Arabidopsis thaliana: one gene and its partners. The protein of the gene in region 2 interacts with the protein of the main gene of each other region in a pairwise test. Each region holds a gene or a part of one and is shown on either strand. Other genes may lie near its edges. The genes, in order: CUC2, MYB112, WRKY38 and CRF11.

What was found.
Region 1: the proteins of MYB112 (region 2) and CUC2 interact in a two-hybrid assay, tested with the Arabidopsis thaliana proteins (one large-scale study listed by BioGRID).
Region 3: the proteins of MYB112 (region 2) and WRKY38 interact in a two-hybrid assay, tested with the Arabidopsis thaliana proteins (one large-scale study listed by BioGRID).
Region 4: the proteins of MYB112 (region 2) and CRF11 interact in a two-hybrid assay, tested with the Arabidopsis thaliana proteins (one large-scale study listed by BioGRID).

What each region holds. Positions count from the first base shown.
Region 1 is NC_003076.8:21,900,195-21,906,657, forward strand, and holds CUC2 (NAC (No Apical Meristem) domain transcriptional regulator superfamily protein), read right to left. Parts: upstream 3,661-6,463; 5' UTR 3,602-3,660; coding exon 3,412-3,601; intron 3,332-3,411; coding exon 3,048-3,331; intron 2,426-3,047; coding exon 1,772-2,425; 3' UTR 1,510-1,771; downstream 1-1,509.
Region 2 is NC_003070.9:17,702,508-17,709,255, forward strand, and holds MYB112 (myb domain protein 112), read right to left. Parts: upstream 3,954-6,748; 5' UTR 3,871-3,953; coding exon 3,678-3,870; intron 2,840-3,677; coding exon 2,710-2,839; intron 2,171-2,709; coding exon 1,762-2,170; 3' UTR 1,625-1,761; downstream 1-1,624.
Region 3 is NC_003076.8:7,493,676-7,499,573, forward strand, and holds WRKY38 (WRKY DNA-binding protein 38), read right to left. Parts: upstream 3,316-5,898; 5' UTR 3,033-3,315; coding exon 2,767-3,032; intron 2,624-2,766; coding exon 2,501-2,623; intron 2,414-2,500; coding exon 1,933-2,413; 3' UTR 1,780-1,932; downstream 1-1,779. UniProt on the Arabidopsis thaliana protein: Transcription factor. Interacts specifically with the W box (5'-(T)TGAC[CT]-3'), a frequently occurring elicitor-responsive cis-acting element.
Region 4 is NC_003074.8:9,472,681-9,479,204, forward strand, and holds CRF11 (Integrase-type DNA-binding superfamily protein), read left to right. Parts: upstream 1-2,731; 5' UTR 2,732-3,138; exon of another isoform or gene 3,139-3,238; 5' UTR 3,239-3,371; coding exon 3,372-4,370; 3' UTR 4,371-4,910; downstream 4,911-6,524.

The DNA of each region.
Region 1 (6,463 bases), on a different chromosome or scaffold from region 2:
GTTTAAAAAAAAATCGTTGGCACATCATTTGAATGCAATTGATTTATATGCGAAATTTTGATTTAGATTTAGTTGGCATAATTTTTCTTTTCCTCTTCACAAACTTTCCAGCTGTTTTAATCACATGATAATTGTTGGGCGTAATCGGTGTGGGCGTAATGACGTACAAAATCAGACATTTGTTTTTGGGGCAAAAAATCAGACATCTTTTAGAAAAGCAAGTAAAATTTAAATGTTGTAGTTATTGAAGCTGATAATAATAATAAAATATAGTAACTTTTGGTTTAAGATTTTTATTTTTTAAGTCAGGCCAGCTGAATTTTCTGCTTTTTTATATATACATAGTGTGATAAAATTAGTCAGTTCTTATCATCACTTAGCTGTTCTTTTGTGTAAATAGCTGGGTTTTTTCTTATATATATATATATATATATGTTGGTCAATGTTTTTTGAACCAATACCATTTGCCTTAGTTTGTTTTGTGATTGCAAATGTAACCAATGAAACCCAAAATAATAAGCATACAAATGTGTACATATATTCCTTTAGCTAAAACATCATGAAATTTTGCCATTTAGCAAGACGTATATGTGAGTCTGTGAATTTGTCTTATGACTAGGTAGTATAGGTTGGTGATGCAACAAGAGCAATAATTGATGATGGTAATGATGATGATGATGATGATGGTTGTGTTACACACATACATATATCATACTCCTACTAGTATACACACGTGAAATGAAAACACATATATAATGGTAATAAACAGAGGTATTATTAATTATGTCTCTTTCTAAAAATAGAAATGTGAAAGCCATCCTTCTGAAAGTGAGGTGGACTGTTGTACAAGATCTGAATTTGGGAGTGGTCCGTTCGTCAGCATGCGCATCATATTCATCATCCCCGTTTCAAAATCCTTAATTTCAAAACTACTTCTTTTCTTTGGTGGGTTTACAATGCATTAAGTTAATCAAAATTAGTATGTAAATTATTTTCAGTAACTACCATGTACATGCATGTTATCTTAATCAATTAAGCCAAACGCAAATTGTTGTGTTTAGTCTCATATGTGTACGATTGTAGCAAGAAGATACACCTAACTGAAAATGGTGTTCATAGACTGATTAATCCACTGAATTATGAGTACTTACTTTAAAAGCATGAAACTTTCTTGAAATATTTTGGCAGTTACACATGTCAACCTTAATTAGCTAGAATTAATAAACAAAAACTACATGCATGTTTTACATTTGAGCATCTTCAATTGATGAAGAAATTAAATAATTAGCCATGTTATGTAATTACGGAAATCATCTAACCGAAGATTCGGAACGGTTGAATTCCGGAAACATATATATAACCGCCATATCAAATTGTATTAACAAGAAGAAAACTAAGGTATCTAGAAGCGACCGAAGAAATTCATTTTGTCGGTAATATACTGTATGATTGTATTGATAACCAAGGACACATGTCAAATATCATGAGAAATATAAAACATGAAAAAGCCATGAAATTAACATAATGTCAAACATTACAAAAACGAGCATAGCTTATACATATGCACGTTCATAGTCTAGAAAACATTTTCCTTGCATATTACCTCCTAATTAACACAACCGGATAAACTTAAAACTAGAGAATTAAGCGGAACATCAAGCTAAGTGCAATATTAAGCTCCTCGGTACACACATTTCATAATACCATAATCATCCTAGAAATACATAAATAAAACCCTAACGGGAACAATTATAAGTCACCTCTTTTGTGATCAGTAGTTCCAAATACAGTCAAGTCCAGCATGAAGCACACCGACCTTTGACTCATTCTCTTCGGCAGTCGCCGGTAGCCAGTAATTCATCCCGGAGACGCCTCCGCCGCCTTGGAAAGAAGGCAGATTAACGGCGGAGGTCATAGTCGATGCAGAAGACGATCCAAAGTAAGGAAATTGATTGAAGTTTTCTTGGAACGATCTGAAGTTAGATTGAGTCGAGACGTTTCTAGAAACGAAACGAGGAAAAGGGTCAAAGTCAAACCCTAGCGGCGGTGGAAGACGGCTGAATGAGTTAACGTCTAAGCCCAAGGCCGTAGTAGTAGTAGGGACAGTGGAGAAACAGGACACGTGCTCGGTTATTGCGCTGGCTGTGACGGTTGTGTTGGTGCTACGGCTGTCGTAGGAGCAACTGCTGTCGGTGTAGCCGAGGGTAGTGGTCGGATCCAGGAGAGGTGGGAGTGAGACGGAGGAAGGAGAGCTTGGTTGTTCTTGATAGTTTCTTGAGATTGTTGAGGGTACTTTCGTCTTTTTAGATGGACCAGTACCGCTGCTTACGCTCACAGTTGCTCCTCCTCCTCCTCCTCCTTCGGAGACGGCTCCGGTGCTAGCTAAAGTGGTTTTCTGGAAAACCCTAGAGATCACCCATTCATCCTGAAGGAATAAATTAGAGTTTTGAAAAGTCAAATATTTTATATAATATATGTTTGATGAGAAAGTCAATGTTAGATCTTGGAAATAAAAGAGAGTGAAGATTAAGAAAAACCATAGAGTAAAAGCGTGCACAGAGGGAATGTACATTGGACACTACAAGTCTACAATGGATATGGAACACTAATTAAGTAAAATTAATTTAATTAAATTTCTTTTTAATATATCTAGGTCAGAAAAAAATCCTGAAGATTTGCATTGGTTCTGGTTTTTTGCATTAAGCTTTCCAAAAGTAGGATGTATTAATATTTTATTTTATCAGAGCTATTGAATGTTTTCTTACTTTAGGAAAACACCATTATGATTGAAATCCCAATACATAAAAACAGCAGATCTTTTCTATTTCATGTTCCATAATGCTCTCAGATAACCACAGTAAAGAACCATGCCTTTTCAGCCATCAAAATTAAATGCAATAAAGCAAAAGAGAAAAAAATCAACGTCACCGACTATGTCACACTCTCGAATTTTTTTTCCAAATAATAGATTGTAAATTTATTAATCAAAGAAAATTAAGGCTTTACTTTATCAACAAAATAACTAATGAAAGGTTAAATCGAAGTACCTTGGAGCTTCTTGAGATGAAATGGTAAGAGAATTTGCCTTCAAGACGATATTCATGCATAACCCAATTACTCTTCTCTCCTTTCGGAGCTCTTCCTTTGTAAAAGACAAGAGTCTTCTTCATCCCAACAAGTGCACAAGTCTTTGAACTAAAGATCTCTCTGTCTTTTCCGGTAGCTTTCCAGTAACCAGCCTCAGTTGCTCTGTTAGTTCTCAGTCCCGTCGGATACTTCCGGTCACGGAGGCTAAAGAAGTACCATTCTTTCTCTCCCATCTTAGCTCTCCCTAAGTAACATTGAGAGTAAAGATTTCAGAAACCTTAATTACAAAAGAACTACAAGTAAGTTAGTTTTGTATTTTCTTACCGGGAAGTTGCCAAGGCTCACACTTGTTGAGATCAACTTCTGCGATGGCACGGCTTGAGAAGCAACCGTCGAGGACTTTGCGGAGAAGGTAATGAGTGATGAGCTCTTCGTCCGTGGGATGAAACCTGAAACCCGGTGGAAGATATTGGCTGTCTCCGCCATGGTCGTAGTGGTAATACGGAATGTCCATTAAGAAGAAAGATCTAAAGCTTTTGTTTGAGAGAGAAAAAACCCTAAGGAGACTCAAATGTTTTGAAGAAGAAGATAAATAGGTTAATATAATGGATGGTTCTTGAGTAAGGGGCGTGGTAATAATGTGGATGGATATTATTTTTTGGTTTTATTAGTTTATTTTTTTTATACATTGGGATTTGGTAAATCTAAAACGGCGAAATAGAGGGAAGCTTTTTTTTTGGGGTAGTGAAAGTAAAATAATTATTAAAAGATTAAAAACCAGAAAGTCGTAGAGAAGATAATTATAAATTTAGTAATAATAAAAAGACAGGTACGTCTACTCTTTCATAGGAATCTGTGGTTTTCTCTGCCTTGTCTTGTAGTAAAGAGAGCAAAGCCAAAGCAGATTATTACATCACATTTTTGAGTTTATCGATATATTTTTTACATAACTCGAGATTGTTTTAAAATTACAAAATTAAAATTAATCATGAAGTGTCCGTATTTCTTTGAATTAAATTATTAAAGAAACGAGGAATGGGCTCTTGTTTCTATCTGAGTATGCGTGCGTGCATGAGAAAAAGTGCAGTGGTATTCTCTGTCAGTGATGAAAATAAAAGAGAGGATTCAGATTGTATCTTTTTTTTTATCTACGAACTTGAAATTTCTTTTTATTATTGTGTTTGGAAATTGGGATACATAATAATTTATTATACGTACAATGACTAATCGAAACAATAGTAGTATAGTGAGGGATACATTATTAGACATATACACTAGTTATTTGGAAAGTGAAGAGTTTCAATTTTTATTTTTAATAGAAAAATGGATATTATATCGATAAGGCTGTTTCAAATCTTGGAGTGTCAGCACAGTACATGATTAATTTATCAAAAACTTTGACAGAGACTTCGTTACTACACGCCACCACCTTCTACACCTTTCACCTCTCTTTTTTTTTTCCTTGATTTTCTTTTCGTTTTTGTTTCATCTTTTCCATTTTCCAATTTTTTACTCCTGTGATGGATTTTTAGTTACTTTTCATTGCTTCATATTCATTTGTAAGACTCAGCAAAAGAAAATTAAATTTCATTATTTTCAAGCAACGAGATTTATGATGTAAGATTGAAAAATAATTTAATCAAGAAGTTACAGGTTGCAAATCAGAGAAGATATTTATGCTGCCTGGTTTTGTAGTTTTCTTAATTACTATCTCAAGTCTGTTTTTTCTCCTTTTTTATATAAATTAATTATGGCTCATCAAATAACTAATTATCAATTATGTTGATTGTTACAGGTCCACCAAAATGACATGACTAAACGTAAATTTCACAATTGTTAATTTATTTCTGTTACTTCCAATATTTTGATTATTATCTCATACAAATTATTTATTTTAGTGGAACTTCAATTTTAGCCCTATTTGACATGACTTGTTTTTTAAAATTTCCCACCCAAAAATGTACTAAAGAATAAACTAAAGAATAAAAGACACACCCAAAAATGTAAAGACCTTAAGATCAAACTAAAAAGATAGTGAGTTGATCAATTTCTACTAATAAATTAACTACAGACTTATTGACTATTTTAACCGTATGAAAAAATTGTATAAACTTAAATCAAAATAACTCTCCCCTTCGAGTATTCATATCTACGGACTTATCATGTGTGTAACTATTAGTTAAAAAAAAGAAGATGTTATAAAGTATGCAAAGTAATAATTATACATTAAAAATCATTATCAGAGACATGCTAAGACTATTACACCTGCTACTACTGTTTAATAGTAGTATTTATTACTATCTAGAAATTGTAGGTCTATCTATACGTCTTTTTAGACATATCTGCATATGACAGTAACTAAATCTAATTAATAAGATCCTTTCCTGTCTTAATTACAGATAGTTGAAGTAAAAGATTATCACCAAGCTATGAACCGAAGCAATAACATTATATAATTGTAATTACTTGAATTTATGAAGTTTTGAATACATTCTAGTGTGCCAAAGTGTTAATTGTCTTAAACTGAAAACAATGGCCAAACAGATTACAATGTTGATATTGACCTTGCCAAATTTTAGAAATTTGCTTTACTTTATCTTAATTTAAACATATATTTTTCACGGTTAATTTGTTTGTTTGCTTAGCATTTTTTTCATAACGAGAAAAATATTCTTATGACTTTAAATATCTAATATCCGTACTTTTTCAAGGTTAAAATGCACACTCCCTACTTTCTATCACCTTCATTCCATTTATGCTATATTTTTGACACTTTAAATACCACATTTATCCCCTTTTGATTAATTAACACAATAGTAGAGTGTTTGATATTCTATATACATATCATCCTCTTTATTTTATTTTTCAATTTCTTTTCCAAATTGTTTATATTTTTCTATTGATCTGAAATTTATGGCTGCTTTCGAACACCAAAATGGATTTGTTTTTCTCTACAGAAAAACATATGTCCTACCATAAAATTCGTTGTTGTTTTATCAATCATTTATTACAAAACTTTTATTTATTTTCTAAAATGTTTGGTAATACCGCATATCATCTTTTTTTAATAACTGCAAAAAGCAAATGAACAAATGCCAATAATAAACTATTTGACGTAAGAGAACCCAATAAAATAAATAATGATAGCATTATAAATGCAGGAGGTTAACACAGTATTAAGAAACAGTAGATATTCCCTTGTGACCTACTCACTTGAGTAAACTAATAGCCCAATCTATGTTTAATTTCTTTTTGTGGTCAACATTTTTTTGATAATACATATTTGTAATTTTTATGGTTCGAAAGAGGATCTTACTTCAGATAGACTTTCCCAAAACAAAAACCAAATTATTTGTTATCTCGATGGTCAAGCTCA
Region 2 (6,748 bases):
TCCACCACTTCAGTCAATTACCAAAACAGAAACCGGATAAATGATAAATCGATGTTAGTAACCAATAATCGAAGAAACGAGAGCCACTATAAAAAAAGATACTCCTATTTTCTAGAGGATGCTAAAGAAATAAAAAAGAAAAGACACGTGACAGATGGAGCGTACATGTGTCGAACTGGGACCACTTTCGGGTTGCTTCTCATGCGCCACCTTCTCTCGGATTCCCATTACAGCCGCCATTGCCACTTCTCTCTTTCCCGGCCTTCTAAAAGCAACAAGCGCACGTGTTAAATGTTCACACGTGTCCTTATCTTTTCTCGTAGATATCTAAATTATTATCTAAAATTAACAATCTGTTCTCAACAATCAACATACAACAATCAACGTCAATATATAATATAGTTATCAAAGCCAAAATCAATGATTCTATAATCCAACAAAGCAAAGATATTCGTGTGTGAAAGGCCAGTATTCCATTTACAAAATTGTAATGCCAATTCATTCCTTTTTTCACTCCAATTCAATTACTATTGTTCTGCTTTTTTCTTATAAAGAGAATATTGAAAAGATAAGTTTAGAATAAAAATCGACCATGCATTGTTTGATATTTTTGGATTGTTTCCATTTAGTCTATAGACGTGTTCGATGATTAATTTAATATATTCTAACAAATAAAACAATTAATACTTTGATTATAAAATAGGGTTCGGGTGAATCTGTGATCCTCCTTACTCGACGTAGTGGAAAAAAACACTGAGAAATAATTTATTTAAAAGTTTAACTAGAGTAACTTATTTGGGTTCGTCCCCTCTGGACGTATATAATCTCGATAAAGTGTTACATGAGTTGGAGTAACTAATAGTATCTTAATCATGATTAGGAATTGGAGACATCATTCACGTCCTTTTCTTTTAGTTAAACTATTAATGATTATACAAACTAAATTAATATGTGATTTTAAATGAAACTAACGATATTATTGGTTAGCCAAACAAGAAAATATAGGCCCTACAAACTAGAAATTTCCAAAACAATAATAGCACCACAAACTACATAACCGATTTAGAGAATTCAACATGTATGTAACTAAAGTTTTTTTTTTATTTTTAAAAAATGATATTTGAGACGACGAAATTTTACTTGCATATTTTTAAGAGTTGATACCATCTTTAAGTGCTCTAAGCAATATGTCTCATTGTCTCGAGCATGCAAGATTTCATGAACACTTCAACTCTGAGTTTAGATGAGAGGGCCAAATCCAAATTAATAATTTATTTAGAGTAAAATAATTATTTGATGTTCACTTCATATACACATCATGCATCAATCTCTATTTCAACCCATTAGTTAAATAAGTATGTAATGAATTTCTTTGGGATATGTTATCAAATACTCATAATGTTTTTAATAATGCGGTGATATTATAAAACTTAATTGATGATCATATATGGTAGATTATAAGTGATCGTATGGGAGTTATTAAATGAACCAGGAACCACATAAACTTTTTGCTAAACTCATGTTGTTGTTTTTCTCTTCTTTGCTCTTATAGTCTTATCTAAATCATGCTTCTGTGTAACAATATATATGTTTTTGATATTATTAATTAAGCAGTTTTTTTTTTGTTTTGTAAAATCATACATCACAATAAAATTAAACCAATAAAAAAATGGAAAAAAACCCGGAAAACCTTTAATTTTGTTTTGAATGATTAGTTTATGTTTATTATACATTACATTCATTAATAAACCCATGAAATGCCTACTGTATGAGCCACTTGTTGAGCTCGTCAAAACTACACAAAGTTTCAAACGTATCTCCGCCGTTGAACCAATAACCACCATTTGTCATATGATCCAACGTTCCAAATTCCACCTGATCACCACCGTAGAAACTCGATCTCACAGCCTCAGACGACGACGTTGATGACGTGGCGGTGGCGACGCTGGAGTTCTCAGGCGAGTAGTGGTTAGAGGTAAATTGGACACTTTGAGTGGCGGCGATTCTCTCGATGAGACGAGGCATCCAGAGATGTTTGATGGTGTCTTTGAATTGCTTGCTGTTCACGTCACATTTTAGAAGTTTTGCATGCTTTTGAACACGTGTTCTCCAATAATTCTTTATCTCGTTATCTGTTCTTCCCGGTAAATGTTGAGCAATCTTTGACCACCTTCACAATAGAAAAAATATCAAAACTAACTCCATTATTAAAAACACGATTAATTTTATAGAACATCGTAATTAAACTCTCATTCCGTTTTTTATTAGAATCATTTATACATACAAAAAATATATTAAATTTCTAATATACTTTTTGTACGTATATTAATTGTTTTTGTTAAAACCGACTCTTGCTAAAAATATTATTTATAATGAATCGGAGGGTTTAATTATTTATAAGTTCTATTGTAGTACTAGATTAATCAGTTTTTTTAGTGTTACTCTGATAAAAAAAGACGTTGATGTGTACCTTAATTTCAACTATGATACAAGTTTCATATAGTAACCACAATTCAACCAAGAAATTTCAAATACGCATCAAATTGATTTTGTCAATTATCTACTAATACAATATTGAATAACGAGTTATTTATTTCATAGAGACGTTCCAAATTTGCTCTCTTCAACGATATGTGTCCCTTTTTCTATTTTAAGTAATGTATCGACAATATGACTATGTCTATGTCGATATAAATAAAGGTTTCATACCGATTTCCCCAACGAGAATGGAGTTCAAGGATGATAAATTGTTCTTGAAGGGATATGTCTCCACGGCGGATATCCGGCCGGAGATAATTTAGCCACCGCAATCTGCAACTTTTCCCCGTTCTATTCAGTCCTGTCTCAATAGTAAATGATTTCAATATAAATACAATTAGTATAAAAACATGAATTAACTGGAATGTACACTAGTCAATAGTATATGGACACTAGTACAATTTCCCAAATCAATAAAGATAACAATTCCATGAGGCTGTATGGAATTGGATGGTTGGGAAAGGTGTTTGAGTTCCACACTCAAAAGGCTAATATGAAAAGAACTCCAAAGGAAAAAATAAATAAATTTGGACCGACCAAACTGTTTCATACGAAAGTACACTTTTAATGATAATAATGAACTATGAATATGTCAACTTGTTCTTTCTTACTTTACCAATTCTACAGAGGAATTTAAATTATGCCGACATGGAGAAGTCACAGCCATAAGAAAAGTATTCTCATAGTTACGAAAAATCACATTCATATATGTATATCACTCACATATGATGTGATAGAAATTGAATAACATATTGATAAGATGTGGACGAGTTTTTATATCTACTCCATTTAATTTCAGTTAGTTATAAATAAACTCTAAACTAAACTTCACATGATCATATTAAAATCCACAAAATCCAAAACGAATTTCTAATAAGAAAAAAAAAAGTTTCAGTCTAAATGTTTAAAAAACAAAAACGGACTACTTGTTTGACATATAAAGAATCCTTCAATACCAAACTTTAACCATTCAAATCAATGATAGTTTAACAATCACTCTAGAGATATGATATGGGCATATAAGGATTTGTTATGATGACTTCAATTGATCTGAATCGATCGATTTACGCATTACATATTATATATCATGCATGATCACATATTCTGTATATATATATGCAAAAGGCTTAAGAAGTTACCAGCAGAACGAGAGAGGGAGTTCCATCTTCCTTCACCGTGAAGAGAAATGTAACTGACGAGCTTCATGTCTTCTTCCACAGTCCATGGACCTCTCCTTATTTCTATTTCCATCTTTTTCTCGACTTCTTCGACTTCTTCTTTATGATTTATAAGGGTTTTACAGTTTGCGAATTCTGTTCTACTTATATTCATGCTTTGAGATTCTTAGAAACTTGTGAGAAGATTGCTCTGAGAAAGATTTTAATTAATGAGGGAGAGAGTTCTCGGAATGGACATAAAGTGATCGAGTTTTCAGGGTGGGTTTTATAGATTTTTTTTTGTTTTGTTTTGTATATATTATAAATAAATACCAAGCATTTGAAATCGGCATGTTAATAGATAAATTATTACCCGAAGATATTAGTGGAATTTTCGCAAAATAATAATTTCTAAGTAATAGTATAAGAGTTCTTAGTTTCTCCTTAAGCACATGCTATAGTTAAGAGTTGGATAAGCTATCAAGTAAGTAAAAGTAACCGAAGAAGTAATTTAAATTAACATCATTTATTTATCGATATAATTTAGTTGATGCAACAAACCCTTTTTTCTGTAGTATATAATTTTGTTTAGTTTTGATTCAGGTTTCCTTTTATTAAACCAAACTAGAATTTAACCCTCAATATAACACGGGACAATTTTGTTTTCACATAATCTTAACTAAATTAGTGTAATTCTACATATTTAATATTAGTGATGTTAATCAAATAATAAAATGAGAATTTCACCGTATTATAATGTCGGTTAATGATACTTTTAATTTTTTTAATGTCGATTTAAACTCATTTTTCATATACCCAGTCTCAAAATATAACATGTACTGCGTTATTTTAGACTTTTATATATATTCATTTTATTTTAAACTTTATACTGAGTTTAAATATATCAATTATAATATTTCAAAACTTTCAAAGCTTAAAATTTACTATATCCAGTAAAATTAAACAGTTCAATTAAAAACAGAATTAAACCATATACAAACTTTTAAATTTAGATACTTGTTAAGTTAAACTTCTTGTTTATTTAGATTTAGATTTATTTATAACATGACTCTTAATCATTTTCTAAACATTTTAGCCCATGTGAAATTGAGACGTTGAACACACTTTTTTATTATTTAAGTAATATATATGTCTAATTCTAAAATTTTGAATCAGAATATAGGTAGAAAATAGTTTATTATTAACTTTATATGATGATTCAAAACAAATAGAAAACAAAATCAAACAAAGATGATTGCGAATCATTATTTTAATTCTTAACACAATCTTTTAATATGTATTACTAATTTTGGAACATTATATGTATATTTCAAATTTTATAGTTAATGTTAAAAACAATCAATTGATTTGGTTATACGGATAATAAAAATTAATAGTAAAGTTATTTGAATACATGAATATAAGTAATGACATTCTCTGTTAATATTTATCAAAATAAAGGTGTTTTTTAAAGTATACTTCAAAAATAATACTCCCCCTATTCTTTATTAATTGATTTTTAGAGAAACAAAATTGTTTCAAAAAGATTGATTTTTTAGGTTTCTATGCACTATTTATTAGTTATTATTGATGAATTTTAAACTTCAAGACAAATAATTGAATATCATTAGTTTAGAATTATTAAAAAATTAAATCACAAAAATTAAATCAATATGTTTACTTAATCTGTGATTGTTTCTAGAAAATCAATAAAAAGGGACAAAAGGAGTAATTTTTAGTCATGATTTCAATTTGATGCAATTTTGGTTTAATTTATTTTGACTTACGGTTTAGATTCGGTTTGGTTTTGATAAAAAAAGTTAGAACATATATAAATACAGATTGATGAAAGAAACTAGTTAAATTTTTTGAAGTTACTAACTTTTTTGGGTTTTCTTTAGTTTCGGAACTCTTGGTTACTTTTTTTTAATGGTTTTAGCTATAAATTTTAGTTTTTTTAATTAGAAATAGAAAAGGATTACAAAACAAAAAAAAGACTCAAGAGAATGTAACAATATAAAAATGCTTTGATAGCATGAAAGCAAGATGCAGCGAACCTCAAAACTCTAAATCGAGTAAAGCTTAACCTAACCCATGTCTCTAACCATAAACTCATTAAAGCCGAATCAGAGTTCTACAAAATGTAAAATCTCGATGAAACTAGTTTTAGATCAAACCATTTTTGCCAAACTTTACACTAGGTCAAAAGTTTTCCAAAAAAAAAAAACAAAAAAAGTTTTAACACCATTATACGTAGTTAAAAAAAAAAGAGAAAACAAAATTGCATTACCTATGATTGATATGTTATTAGTGGAGTATTTGCCATGGTTTTATCGTTTTTGATAGTTTTCTTTGCCATACCTTTTGCCATGTTATACAGTTTTGACAAAATAATGAAAAGGAAATTTGTTTTTTTTTTCTTTAATCCATAAAACAATATATCGATTTATAATATTTTATTATGTTTAGGTAATATTTTAGAAATAACCAAAACTATGGCCGACAGATTTTCATATTAGAAATCTTCTTTTAAAATTGTGGACTAGATATAACACTTGACAAATCGTCTTTACATGTGTCTTCATCGGTTATCGCTGCTGAGACTCTTAACATTTAAGGTGACATTGTCCTTTGTTGCCAAAGCTTTGAGGGCGGCATCAAAATTGGTAAGTGCAATAATAGAAAGTTCTGAATATTCGGTATAATTTTTTATGAATGAGGATCAGTCGTGCTTTTAACGAGTGATTTGAATTGCATGCTTATGTTTAAGAAATTTCGTGACGCATAGTTGATCAAAAACTTTGTTACACCAAGAAGATTAAGTTTTTTAGTTTTAGGAGTCGACTTAAAGAACATAAAACAGAATGAAGAATTATTACTAACCTTACTTTCTGAAATTTTATAGTAAAAGCATTACTAACAGAACCAATAAATAATTGTTTTTACATAACAACCAAATTTATTTTATGATTTTAATATGAAGATTATGTTTCTTGTTACATGAGAATTGTTGTGAGATTTATATGGACCACATTTAACCATATCTACACTTG
Region 3 (5,898 bases), on a different chromosome or scaffold from region 2:
TCATGTGGCATTATAAAAAACGGATGGTTGTTATTATATACTTTCAACTTGATCTAGCTAGTTGCCTAGTTTGTTCGTCCAGACCACTACTAGTATTTTGTAAATAATACCAATTTTACTTTTCTTATAGTAAGCTGTGAAAGACATGTGGTAATAGAAATTATATAGAGCAAATAATTACGAGTGTATTAACGTAATTTTATATTATAAAATGCTAGTATTATATTAAGGGTGTCTTAAAAATAACAATAAACCCAACAAAAGTGTTTTAAAGAATACATTTTTGACATACTGTCTCACCTTATCCTAGAAAATTACTTTTCAATATTGATATTTCTTTTTAAAAATTATGTTAAGACACTTATAAAAATAATGCAATGGAAATGTTCTTAGGTTACATAAAGAATATTGACGTCATCAATAGGTGGTCTCATGCTCGTAGAATATCATTTGTAAATAATGTCGTTTTATATAATCCAAAAACAGACTTGAAACATAATGTAATTTCAGTTTTGTCATCATTAGCTTAGCTTATTCACCTAAAGAGTTAAACTTATATTGTTTATCAGTAAAAATATCTATAAGCTATAGAGGCTTCAGGCTTGCTTAAACAGTCCTTGTAATTACTTTCATAAATAGAATCTACGTATAAAAATATTATGATTTTATACACGTTTAATGCATGTGTGAAAAGGTTAAAAATATACAAAATAGACTTCCACAAATAGTTCCACTCATCAAAATTAAACATGACCTTCGAGGCAGAACATCACGAGTTGACGTAATGGTGTATGTAATCTATTCATTTATGTAAGATTCTATGTTTTTAAGCAAATCGTTTCTTTTTTGGTATCAAGCAAATCGTTTCATAATTAGCATATAATGTTTTCTAGTTTCTTTATCCTTTCAATGTGTCAAGCTTCATTTTCTATTAATCATTTTGAATAGACCGAACGCAAGAAGATGTGTGTGCTTCGGCCAATAGCAAGAAAAATCAAACCCTTGTAAATATTACATTTTCTCAAACAAATCCGGTTTTACATATTCTACTTCTGCTCCAAATATGAAAAATACTTCGGTTCAAATCCGGTTCACCCTCAGGAATTTAAACTTTGTTATTCACCCTATTTTATTTTGCTAATCATAATATACCACTTAATTAAAAATATTAAATTATAAAAATTAATTTGCCACCAAAAACAGTTATATATTAGTTTGAGTTTATAAGAAAATAGTTAAGATTAAAATTTAATAATTAAACAAGATAAAATATAGGTTTGAGTTTATAAACGAGTTTAGATTTTTTTCAACTAGATGAGGTTAATTGTTGGTATGAGTTTATAAAAAGGTTTACATTTTACATTTTTAAACGAGGTTAAATATATCAATTTGGGTTTAGAAAAAATGGTTAGGATTATAGACGTTAAAACTAAACGAGGTTAAATGTTGGTATGAGTTTGTAAAGGAGAATTATGGTTTAGTTTGTAAATAAACGAGGTCAAATTAAATGTTGGGTTTGGTTTATAAACATATTTAGATTTTACAATTAAACGAGGTTAAATGTGAGTTTGGGATTAGAAAGAATGGTTAGAATTTATATTTTACAATTAAACAAGGTTAAAATGTCGGTTTTGAGCTTTTAAAGATGAATGAGAGTTTAGATTTTATAATTAAACGAGATTATAGATCGATTTAGGTTTACACAAAAAGTGGTTGAAATTTATATTTTATAATCAAATGAATTTTTAATTTATTTATTAGATGATAGAGTTTTATTGGCCGGAAATAAACTCTTAGGGGTGAATATAAATATTGTTCTCGGATTATCTAATCAATAACATAAATACTTAAATAGTCACAATTCTCAAATATATACAATCTCATAAAAAGGAAAACATTATTAAATAGTTTTAGCTGAAAAATCTAGTGCAATCAAAAGTAAAACTGATCATAACGATCCCACGAGTCTGGGTTGTCAAATAACAAATCAGAATTAAAGTCAGCACTTTCACTGCCAGATGACGATGAAGGAGGATAAGAGCCTGATGGTGATGATAGATATTCTTCTATAACATCTTGACAATCTTGGTCATTACTGGTTATCTCACGGTACTGATCTATAGCTTGCTCTTTGATGATATCTTCTTCATGCTTAACCGATAAGGAGAAACCGTTCGAGCGGCTTTCCTTCTCCTGATCCTGATCTTTTCCGAATCGGATCATTTGGGTACTTTTAAAGTCATCTAGGGGATCTTGTCCGGCAATAAAAATGGCATCTAGATTATGTTCGGTTTTGCAAGTGTGGTGGCCAAAGTAAGTGGTTCGGTAAACCGGAGGATTGTCTTTGATCTTTTGTTCATGCTTTCTTGCTTCGCAGTTATGATCTTTGTTGTAAGAACATCTATAGTAACTCCTGTTACCATCATCATACACCAATTAGTATGAGTGATCGGGATAGAAATAATTATGATGAAATATGATTAGCTATACTATTTCTTACCTTTGGTGATTAGATTTTTTTATACTCTTTTGACCATATTTCCTCCAAAGATACCCGTCGTAGTAAATCGGATCCGGTGAATCGTCCCTCCAATTCTCACTTGAATTTGTACTATCAATCTTTCTGCAAACATGAGTATTATCAAAATATTAGCATTAAAATCAACATATACTCCTAAGAAAAAAAATACTTATATTAAGAATTGTGGTTTCATTTGGAAAAACAAAAACAAACTCAAAAAAGAAAACAAACTCATAAGTGTATACCTTTTCTTGGAGGGGCTCCCCTGTGGAGGAGGAGAAGAATCCCTAGAAGATAAATCAGAAAACTGATCATCTTCGGTTTCTGGTTTAGCAGATAAGATTGAAATGGCATTGGAAAAACTTTCAACGATCGATTTAGCAAGATCATAACTTGAAAGCGGTCCACCATCAGCCATTGGATGGTTGAGCCGCCTCTTCAACCGCATGGCGCAGCTATGGCCATAACGGATAGCTTGCACCGCCTTTTCGTGTGGGGAGTTCATTTCCATAGAGTATAGTGAACTTGTGTGTGTGTGTATGTGTTTCTTGTTTGTTTTCTTTTTCTCAAGTCTCTTCTCTGTGCTATAAACTTTTGAACGGATAGGGAGATCAGAATTTATAGGACTAGTCGTACATACACGTTCCCAAATGACTTTGCCAATTTGGGTTTACCAAATATAATTTACATACACTAGGTTATATTTTAAGAAGCCAATGATAAATTATAATTTCGATATAGGACATGTGCTCTGCTAGACTTATATGCGTGAATCTAAATAAAGAGAGACAAAAAGATAGATTAGGTGTTGACATTAGCATATGATCTGTCATGATGTATAGGAAACAGAGTTTATTTTATATACCTTTCCCAGTACGCGGCTCACTTAATTATATACAATCTGTTTTTAATTGTTTCAGAATTTATCTGTTTCTCTTATTACACTAATCTACGCGGTTCGCTTAATAATTAAAGATTAAAAATTAAAAACTACTCCTTTCAGAACACTAAAAGGTTTCAAGATAGGAGGAATCTAATAGAAAACTGTGTTCTACAAAGTCAGATATATTAGAGAGAGATATGAGCTATGATAAACCCCAAATTAGCAATGATTTTAAAATTTTCTTTTGTAATCTTTCCATTTCAATATGTGTCGCAATTTTTTTTATTTTTTTTTTGAAAATATATAGCAGATGAAATTTAAGAATAAATTTGTTTGCTTAATTTTGTTGATTGTATATCGTTAAATATTTTTTATTTAATATTTTGATAGGTGGTTTTAATTATAATTTATACGGTAACTAATAATATAGAGTTTTGAAAATAATATATTTTACGTTCATATGACAAAAAAAAACAAATGTATGTAATAGATTGGATGTTCACAAAAAAAAAAAGTATAACATATTTTACACGTCCATCGCAATGTTTACCTCATCAAAGATGAAACGTGTACAAATAATGTTTTTTTGCTCAATATAATAAGCTTCGAACACATATGATATGATCAATTCATTTTTTTGTAATGAAAATACTCCACTAGTCGTGGATATCTTTAATGGTAAAATTATCTAATTTTTTGGTGAGTTTTGGTTCAGATTTTAAATAAAAATGTAAGTATTTAGACCAGACAAAAGATAATTATTAGGTAATAGAATAACATTAACAAGTAAGATCTAGACAATTTTTCAACGCTTAAAGAGAGAAATAATTGCGATGTAGCTGGCGAGTGGCGACTAATGCACCAATGAAAACGGCATTAGTTTCGTCGGACACTCGACGTCAGCCCCATGACGTAGTTTTTGTTGAAGGGGCTGATTCAGCAGATTGACGTCAGAACGAAGCAGCAATGTTGATTATATTATATACTAACAACAACTAGTCAACTATGCCGTGATGTGAGATTCATTCGTTGGCTACTCGGTCCATATTTTAATTTAATCTAAAATTTTAAGAATTTATAATTAATAAGCTTTGCAAAAGATAACTGGTAATCTTGAATCCTTTTTCTTTAGGTAAACTTGAATCTTATATGAAAGAAAAATTAGTAATTACATTTTAAGCGGATAAAATGATATAATATACGTACAAAAGCTTGTTTTGAATATATAGTATAATCTGAAAGCTAACCAATCCAAGTTATACAATCATATTTTAAAACTAATAGATGGTCAATCCAAAACAATTTATCCTTATCAGATTGTATACATCGATGGTATTTTCAGGCCATGAATTAACACCATTCATGAAACTATACAACAAATTACAAAGTTTGTAAAGAATGTTAAGTTCTATCTACCCATCAATTTAACAACCCTATCTTCTTCTGCGGGTGGTTAATGTAAATTGATAGATATCAACACATAAGAGATATATATATATATATATATATATATATATATATATATAAACTTTCGCACGTGACTTTGATCTGATCTGTGAAACGTTGCCCACATGTATTTTGTTCTTGTTATTAGCAAATTGTTAAATATTGTATAGGTATTAGTACTATATTGAGTAAGGGGTCACATATGTACAAGTCAAGCAAAGCTATGGGTCAAGTCACATTATTTTATGGTGCGAAAGGAAAGTGAATGTGAACATGACTTACATGACAATAATGGTGATACATTTTTTTAATAATTTTATTTATTAGCTAATTAAACCAAGTAGTTGGAACGTAGCTTCCATGTCTTCTTTAATCTGACGACGACTTCAACAAAATTCCCCATTTTCAATAATCCTACAGAACTTTAAAACTTATCTTTATATTAACTTCTTCAGGACTTTTCAATTCAAGATATTTATCTTTGGATTCGTGCTTCCAGCTTTAGTCAAATATATACTTTTGACGTCCTGATTTTTCCAAATAAGGAAAAAAAAGATCCATCGTGCTTGCTCGTGATCTTACATTTTTCCTACTTAACTAATAGATGACCTCCCCAACTTAAATTTCTTAACCACATTTATCTATACAAAAGGACAGGCTACATCCTAGAAAGAAAATAATTAGCAACAACATTGAGACAATATATCGCTTTTTGGTTATATAATTAAGGATTTTATTAGACCAGGATGACAGGAAATTGTTTCGCCCTTTCAATAAGGCCATTTGAAATGCTTGAACTTTGTTATAATCGGAGTCGGTTATTGATAGTCAATTTTTGCAAATGAAGACTCAGGTTGAGTGAACTCAAAACTAACTAAGGATAGTTAGTGGACTACGGTTTCCTTGAACCACCTTTCAACAGACTTGTAGAAAAAAAAACACATGATCCAGCTACCTTCTTTTTCATTGTGGGTTTGTAAAATGCAAAGTAGCAAAACATTTTTCTAATGAAAAAACAAATGGGCTGGAAAGTATAGTTGTCACAACT
Region 4 (6,524 bases), on a different chromosome or scaffold from region 2:
AATGTATTAGTCCACATGGTGAAATGTCTACATTTTAAACACCACGTGACACTGATAATCCGACACTTGTATGTGTGAAATCAATGTAATGATCCCTTACTCTTTCTTTTTTGTTTTTCTTTCAATAGAACAAAAATATTGCGAATTTATCTAATAATGTTTCTGTAATACTAAAATTATTTTAAAAGTTTTTATTTAATATATTGTTAATTTGTCTAAATTTTGTCACGACCGTTTTTCTTCATGAATAGTCTTTGACGTAGTTGAACATCCATTTTGTATACACTGTTATAAATTTGCACACATTTTGTGTTTCAACAATTTTTAAAAAGTATATATGTAGTGTACAACTTTACTTTATTATTGCTTTACTTTTTTTTTGTCTATTGTCGTTGAAAAATGACATCAAATGAATCTGTTGCCTTCCTTACGTAGGAAACGTTTTGTTGAAATAGTAATAATTAGTAAGGGTCATTGTATATTGGTGGAGAAAATGTTTTTCTTACTTCTGTAATTGCATCGTCTTTTCTTCACGTAGGGTAGGCAATCACATGCATTCAGGCGTGCGTTCACTGTTTTCTTTTTTCTTCTAGCTTTTTGTTTTCCTACTATATTGTTGCAGAAAAATGTTTAGTTTAAACTAAATTAATTATCCAACTCTTTAAAGTGGCAATCTTGTAAATAAAAAGGGGAGTAGGTCTGGACCAATGTGGCAATGCGAGCGATATGTTAAAAAAGCTGTGGAATAAACAAAATTTTGGAAATTAGGAGTTCCTTTCGTTTTATGGAATTGAAAGAAAATGACACTTTCAATATTTTTTTGGTATTTCTTTAGTAAAAAATGTTTTAAATTTTTAATCGATCGAATCGTAATGAACCTTACAAAAAAATCATAAAATTTGAAGTTGATATATAAATTTTAATCTAGAGATGTTAACTTTTTGGATTAATCTGGAAGCGACCTGTTTTAAGTTGTTTCAAAACTATTAGGACCGAAACCAAATAGAATCGAGCAAAAAATGTTAGAAATTTTTATTTTATTTTGTGTTCTTTAGGTTAACCAAATGTTCGTTCATGGTGTAAGATATCAAATAATGGATGAGCTTAACCTCTAAAATACAAGTTTAAATTGATCGGTTCAAATCGGACCGAACTTAAATGATTTTGCAAGTTATTAGAGTGATCATGATCATGTTATGTTACGGAATATTACAGAGTAACTTAACTTAAGCACTGACTTAGTTGACCCAAAAAGAGACCATTGACTTCATGAAATGCTTGAGTGTGGAAAAAATAAAACAGAGTTATTCAAAAACGTTTTGAGTTGTGAATTATTCTCATTAACATTGTATTTATTTGGTGCACAAAAAAAAAAAAAAAAAAAATTGTATTTATTTATACCCACTAAAGATGGGAAGAAGACTTGTAAATTATGATGAAAAGTCCCTCGGTTGGTAGCAACTAGCAAATGTGGGGATGGAACAATCCTCCACGTTCGAAATTGTTCTTCTTTAGCACAATCAAGATACTGCAAAGTAAACTACCTCTAATGTAATTAATTAACCTCACAAATTGTTATGTTAATTAATGGTATTGAATTATACTCGTCGATCTTTTGTAAGATATTTTTGTTGAATGCCGAAAAAATTATCAGAATCTATAATTGATGTTTTTGTTTAAGAGTCAATTTGGGAGAATGAGTTAAATTACTATAGAATACAAGTATACATCACATCAAATAATATGAATAATTCACTAAACAATGAAGGAGTAGTTACTAGTCACTCTCTTTTATTTATTTTTAATTAAAAAACGAATATATATGTTATTGTAGTTTAATACTATTAATAAAATAAAATTCTATTACTTCACTTAGCTAAAAGACCCACAGTGCAGTAACAGTGAGAAGTAAATTTCATGAATAATGTATTACAATACAATAATAACTTGTTCGATACAAAGTATTATTCCTTTCACAAACTAAATTTATTTACCATATATCCATAATATAATTCCAAAAATAGTATGTTTTATTACCATATTGTAAAAGGGAAAAATGTCATTTAAATCATCACTTTACCATTTTCGTTGGTTTAAAACATAAACTCTCGATTTGGTGATTTAAATCCTCAATTTTATGTTGACGTTTAATTTAATCACGAATTCTCGTTAACTAAGCCAATTAAGACACATCGTTAAAAAATTTTCTAATTAAAATTTTTGAGTTTTTCTCTATTTTTCTTCAGAATCTCTTATCTTCTTTGGAATTTCTCTTCTTATTCGAATTCAAAGTAATCTTTCATCTTTAGGTCGATTGACGATACCGGGAAAAAAAATTGTGTCTCAATTGGCTTAGTCAACGAGAATTTGTAATTAAATTGAAAATCAACATCAAATTAAGAATTTAATTCACAAGATCCAAAATTCATACTTTAAACCAACGAAAATGATAAAGTGATAATTTAAAAAACATTTTCCTTATCCCTATTGTAAAACTATTTTCACCAATCTTAACCGAAAAAATGAAATAAAACTGTCCAAAAAAAAAAAACCAAATGCTAATAAAAAACGAATTTAATTTCCCATCTTCGTTTTTTTTCTTTCTTTTAATGCTTTAATAAATTTTTATTGAGATCTGTGTTTGAACAATCGTTTCTTAAAAGATTTTTAACATCTTTTTAAATTCCTCGGTCTCTTAAATTTACCAGTTACATAACTTTCTTTTATTTTTCCGACATAAATTAAAAGTTTTGTCTTTGGTAATAGAGAGGCAGAAAAATCTTGGCCATAGATTTGTCATCTGTTTTCGATTCGTTTTGATTCTTTACTTTATCTTCTTCTTCTTCTTCTTCTTCCTCTTTTTGAATCTTTTATCTTCTCACTTTTCTTTTTCACTTTTGGGAAGCTCGAAGAGCTGAGAGGAGTGTGAGAGAGAAAAGGATCTTTGAAGTCGCCGGAATAATTTGTTTAACCGGAGCTCTGTCTTTGACTCTACGCTTCTCTCTCTTCTTCTTCCTTCTTCGTCTTCTTAATCGCTTTCTGCTCTGTTTTTCTCGTTCATCAAGCTACATCTACTAGCTCTCTCAGTGATTGATTTCTCACAGTTTCATCGATTTCCATGCGTTTAAGACCTAAAAGGTAACTGGGTTTGCTAAAGTTTGTTACTTTGAATGGTTTTTATAGTTTCTCTGTTCGAATCTGAAGTGGGTTGTTGTGTTTTTGCTGGTTATTGAAACAGGACTTGTTCTGGGGTAAAGGACTTTTCTTGTTCTTGAGAGAGTTCATTTTGAGGCTTTTCTGGGAATTTTGAGAGGTTTTTTAGGGTTTAAGGGGGTTTGGTTTTGAATTTCGCACACCAAGTGTTCGATAAAATGGCTGAACGAAAGAAACGCTCTTCTATTCAAACCAATAAACCCAACAAAAAACCCATGAAGAAGAAACCTTTTCAGCTAAATCACCTCCCAGGTTTATCTGAAGATTTGAAGACTATGAGAAAACTCCGTTTCGTTGTGAATGATCCTTACGCTACTGACTACTCATCAAGCGAAGAAGAAGAAAGGAGTCAGAGAAGGAAACGTTATGTCTGTGAGATCGATCTTCCTTTCGCTCAAGCTGCTACTCAAGCAGAATCTGAAAGCTCATATTGTCAGGAGAGTAACAATAATGGTGTAAGCAAGACTAAAATCTCAGCTTGTAGCAAAAAGGTTTTACGCAGCAAAGCATCTCCGGTCGTTGGACGTTCTTCTACTACTGTCTCGAAGCCTGTTGGTGTTAGGCAGAGGAAATGGGGTAAATGGGCTGCTGAGATTAGACATCCAATCACCAAAGTAAGAACTTGGTTGGGTACTTACGAGACGCTTGAACAAGCAGCTGATGCTTATGCTACCAAGAAGCTTGAGTTTGATGCTCTGGCTGCAGCCACTTCTGCTGCTTCCTCTGTTTTGTCAAATGAGTCTGGTTCTATGATCTCAGCCTCAGGGTCAAGCATTGATCTTGACAAGAAGCTAGTTGATTCGACTCTTGATCAACAAGCTGGTGAATCGAAGAAAGCGAGTTTTGATTTCGACTTTGCAGATCTACAGATTCCTGAAATGGGTTGCTTCATTGATGACTCATTCATCCCAAATGCTTGTGAGCTTGATTTTCTCTTAACAGAAGAGAACAACAACCAAATGTTGGATGATTACTGTGGCATAGATGATCTGGACATCATTGGTCTTGAATGTGACGGTCCAAGCGAACTTCCAGACTATGATTTCTCAGATGTGGAGATCGATCTTGGTCTCATTGGAACCACCATTGACAAGTATGCTTTCGTTGATCATATCGCAACAACTACTCCCACTCCTCTTAATATCGCGTGCCCATAAGTTTTGCAGCTAGGTGTTATTATTAGCTATAGGAGCAACGTAAAAAGCTCGTTGTTACTCGGTTTTGTCTTAAGTTATTAAAGTATAGCAGAGGCAGTTAATCTCAAGGGAAGCAAAAACCCTAAAGATAGAAGCAGATGCAGTTTTGTGTGTTGGTGTTACTAAAGAAAGTTTTGTTGACATAATGGTTTTGATGTTGTGGAGAAGATAGAGAGGTGTGATCGAAATTGTAAATCTCAGGTGGTTTTTTTTGAAGGCAATTGTTTCTCATTTAGGGTTTTTTTCTATATGAGGATTGTCTTTGAAAAGCCTTTAGATGTTTTCTAATTCGTAAGCTCTCTCAATCTTTGTAAGTTTTGCCTGTTGAGTTATTGATACATATGTGAGACCTACTTTATTTGTTTTGTGCTACATACATTGTTGATGGTTTCGTCCTCTGCTCTTGTTAAGTCATTGTTACCAATGTTTGATTGCTGTTTCTTTCGGGTTGATTCAGTCAGACATGAAGATAACTAGATAAACCGTTTGTTCTCTGCAATCACTACCTATAGAGTTAGGGTTTAGGCTTATCCTCTTTTTGCATTATATCAGTAAAGTTTTCTTTAAAAGTTATGTGAACAAAAACACATAATGCAAGATAGAGAGGTTAATGGGTTTGGTTGATGATAACAGTAGGACAAATTATCACCGCTCTAATTGCGTTGGTTCTTAAACCATTTCTTTTATAATATTTAATATTTGATCTAATTTTCTTAAAGCAACCTTTGCGTATATTACAAGTCTTGCCAAAATTTTCAACTAGTTCCATCTTTGATATAAAGAGTATATAGTGGTGTGTTCTTTTGTGTCAAGCCATCTCTCAACTTCAGACTGTAGCTGCTTTTGGATTTTATTAGTTTCGTTTTAGTGAACAGAATTATGGATATACATTGAATTGAACGTGCATATTCATTTTGTTTTTGTTTTTTCAACAAATTAAAATGAATTCTAAGATGTTTTTGTTTTTTTGTTAATTGAATTCTTAAGATGTTGACAGAAAATAAATTGAAGTCTTAAGAATAATTGATTTGAGATTTTAAGACTTGTACTTTTCTTTGGAGATTGGAGATTTGACATGCTCGAAGTCGATGTATACAATTTGGTTTTTTATCAAGTGTCATTCTCATTCGATGGAGCTTTTTTTTTATCAAAAACGTGGAAATTAGTGATTTCTAATGATCTGAAATAAAAATTGGGTTTACTTCCATGGTTTTTTTTTGGACAAAGGGGTTTACTTACGATCAAGCAATCAATTACATAGTTATTCTGGATTAGTCATTTGGTAATATTTAGCATCTTATGAAGAATCTTAAACACGTCCATTATACAACTAAATATGTTGCACCATTTGATGGAAAAAAAATATGTTGCACCAAAAAAATGATCCAAGATGTTGAAACTTGAAAGAAAAAATCGAATAATAATAACAAATAGGCTTTCTGGCTTTCTATGTTACTGAAAGGCCCAATGCACGTAAACGGAGAGCCCACATTACAAATTAATAATTTTTGTTGGGCTAGTGAGACCATAACGCTATCATACGTTGTAAATCTGTACAGCAAGTTAACAATTACAATAATAATCAGATTTTACACTCTTTTATAGATAAGTCATGGTCAAGACTCAAGAGTCAAGAGTCAAGACCAACAATCAATGGCCTAGCTTGTACAACAAAAGACTTAAGGCTATATAGTTTTAATCAATTAGAGTCACATAATTCACAAATATCAACGATTATACAACGGTTGTTATTGAGTAGTTAAAACATGGTTGATATAGATTAGTGAGAAAATATTGATTGGTTGACAATATATGAAAGTGAAATTATCAAAATGATATTATACATAAGTTTTTAAAATATATCCAAACTCATTTTTATTATAATTAGAAACTTTTTAAAAAATATAGACCGTATGTGATCTATTTTTATGAAACTTAATAACAAAATTTATTTGAAAATATTAGATTGTAAAAAAATAATTATTCATTCTGTAGTTTCCGGTTAAAAAATGTGCAGAAAGATGAGTTTTTAGTTTGTGGGTTCAGTAACATTATAAGCTAATATTTTTTTATTAGTTGATTACATATTATTCAAGGATTACATATGTTGATGAA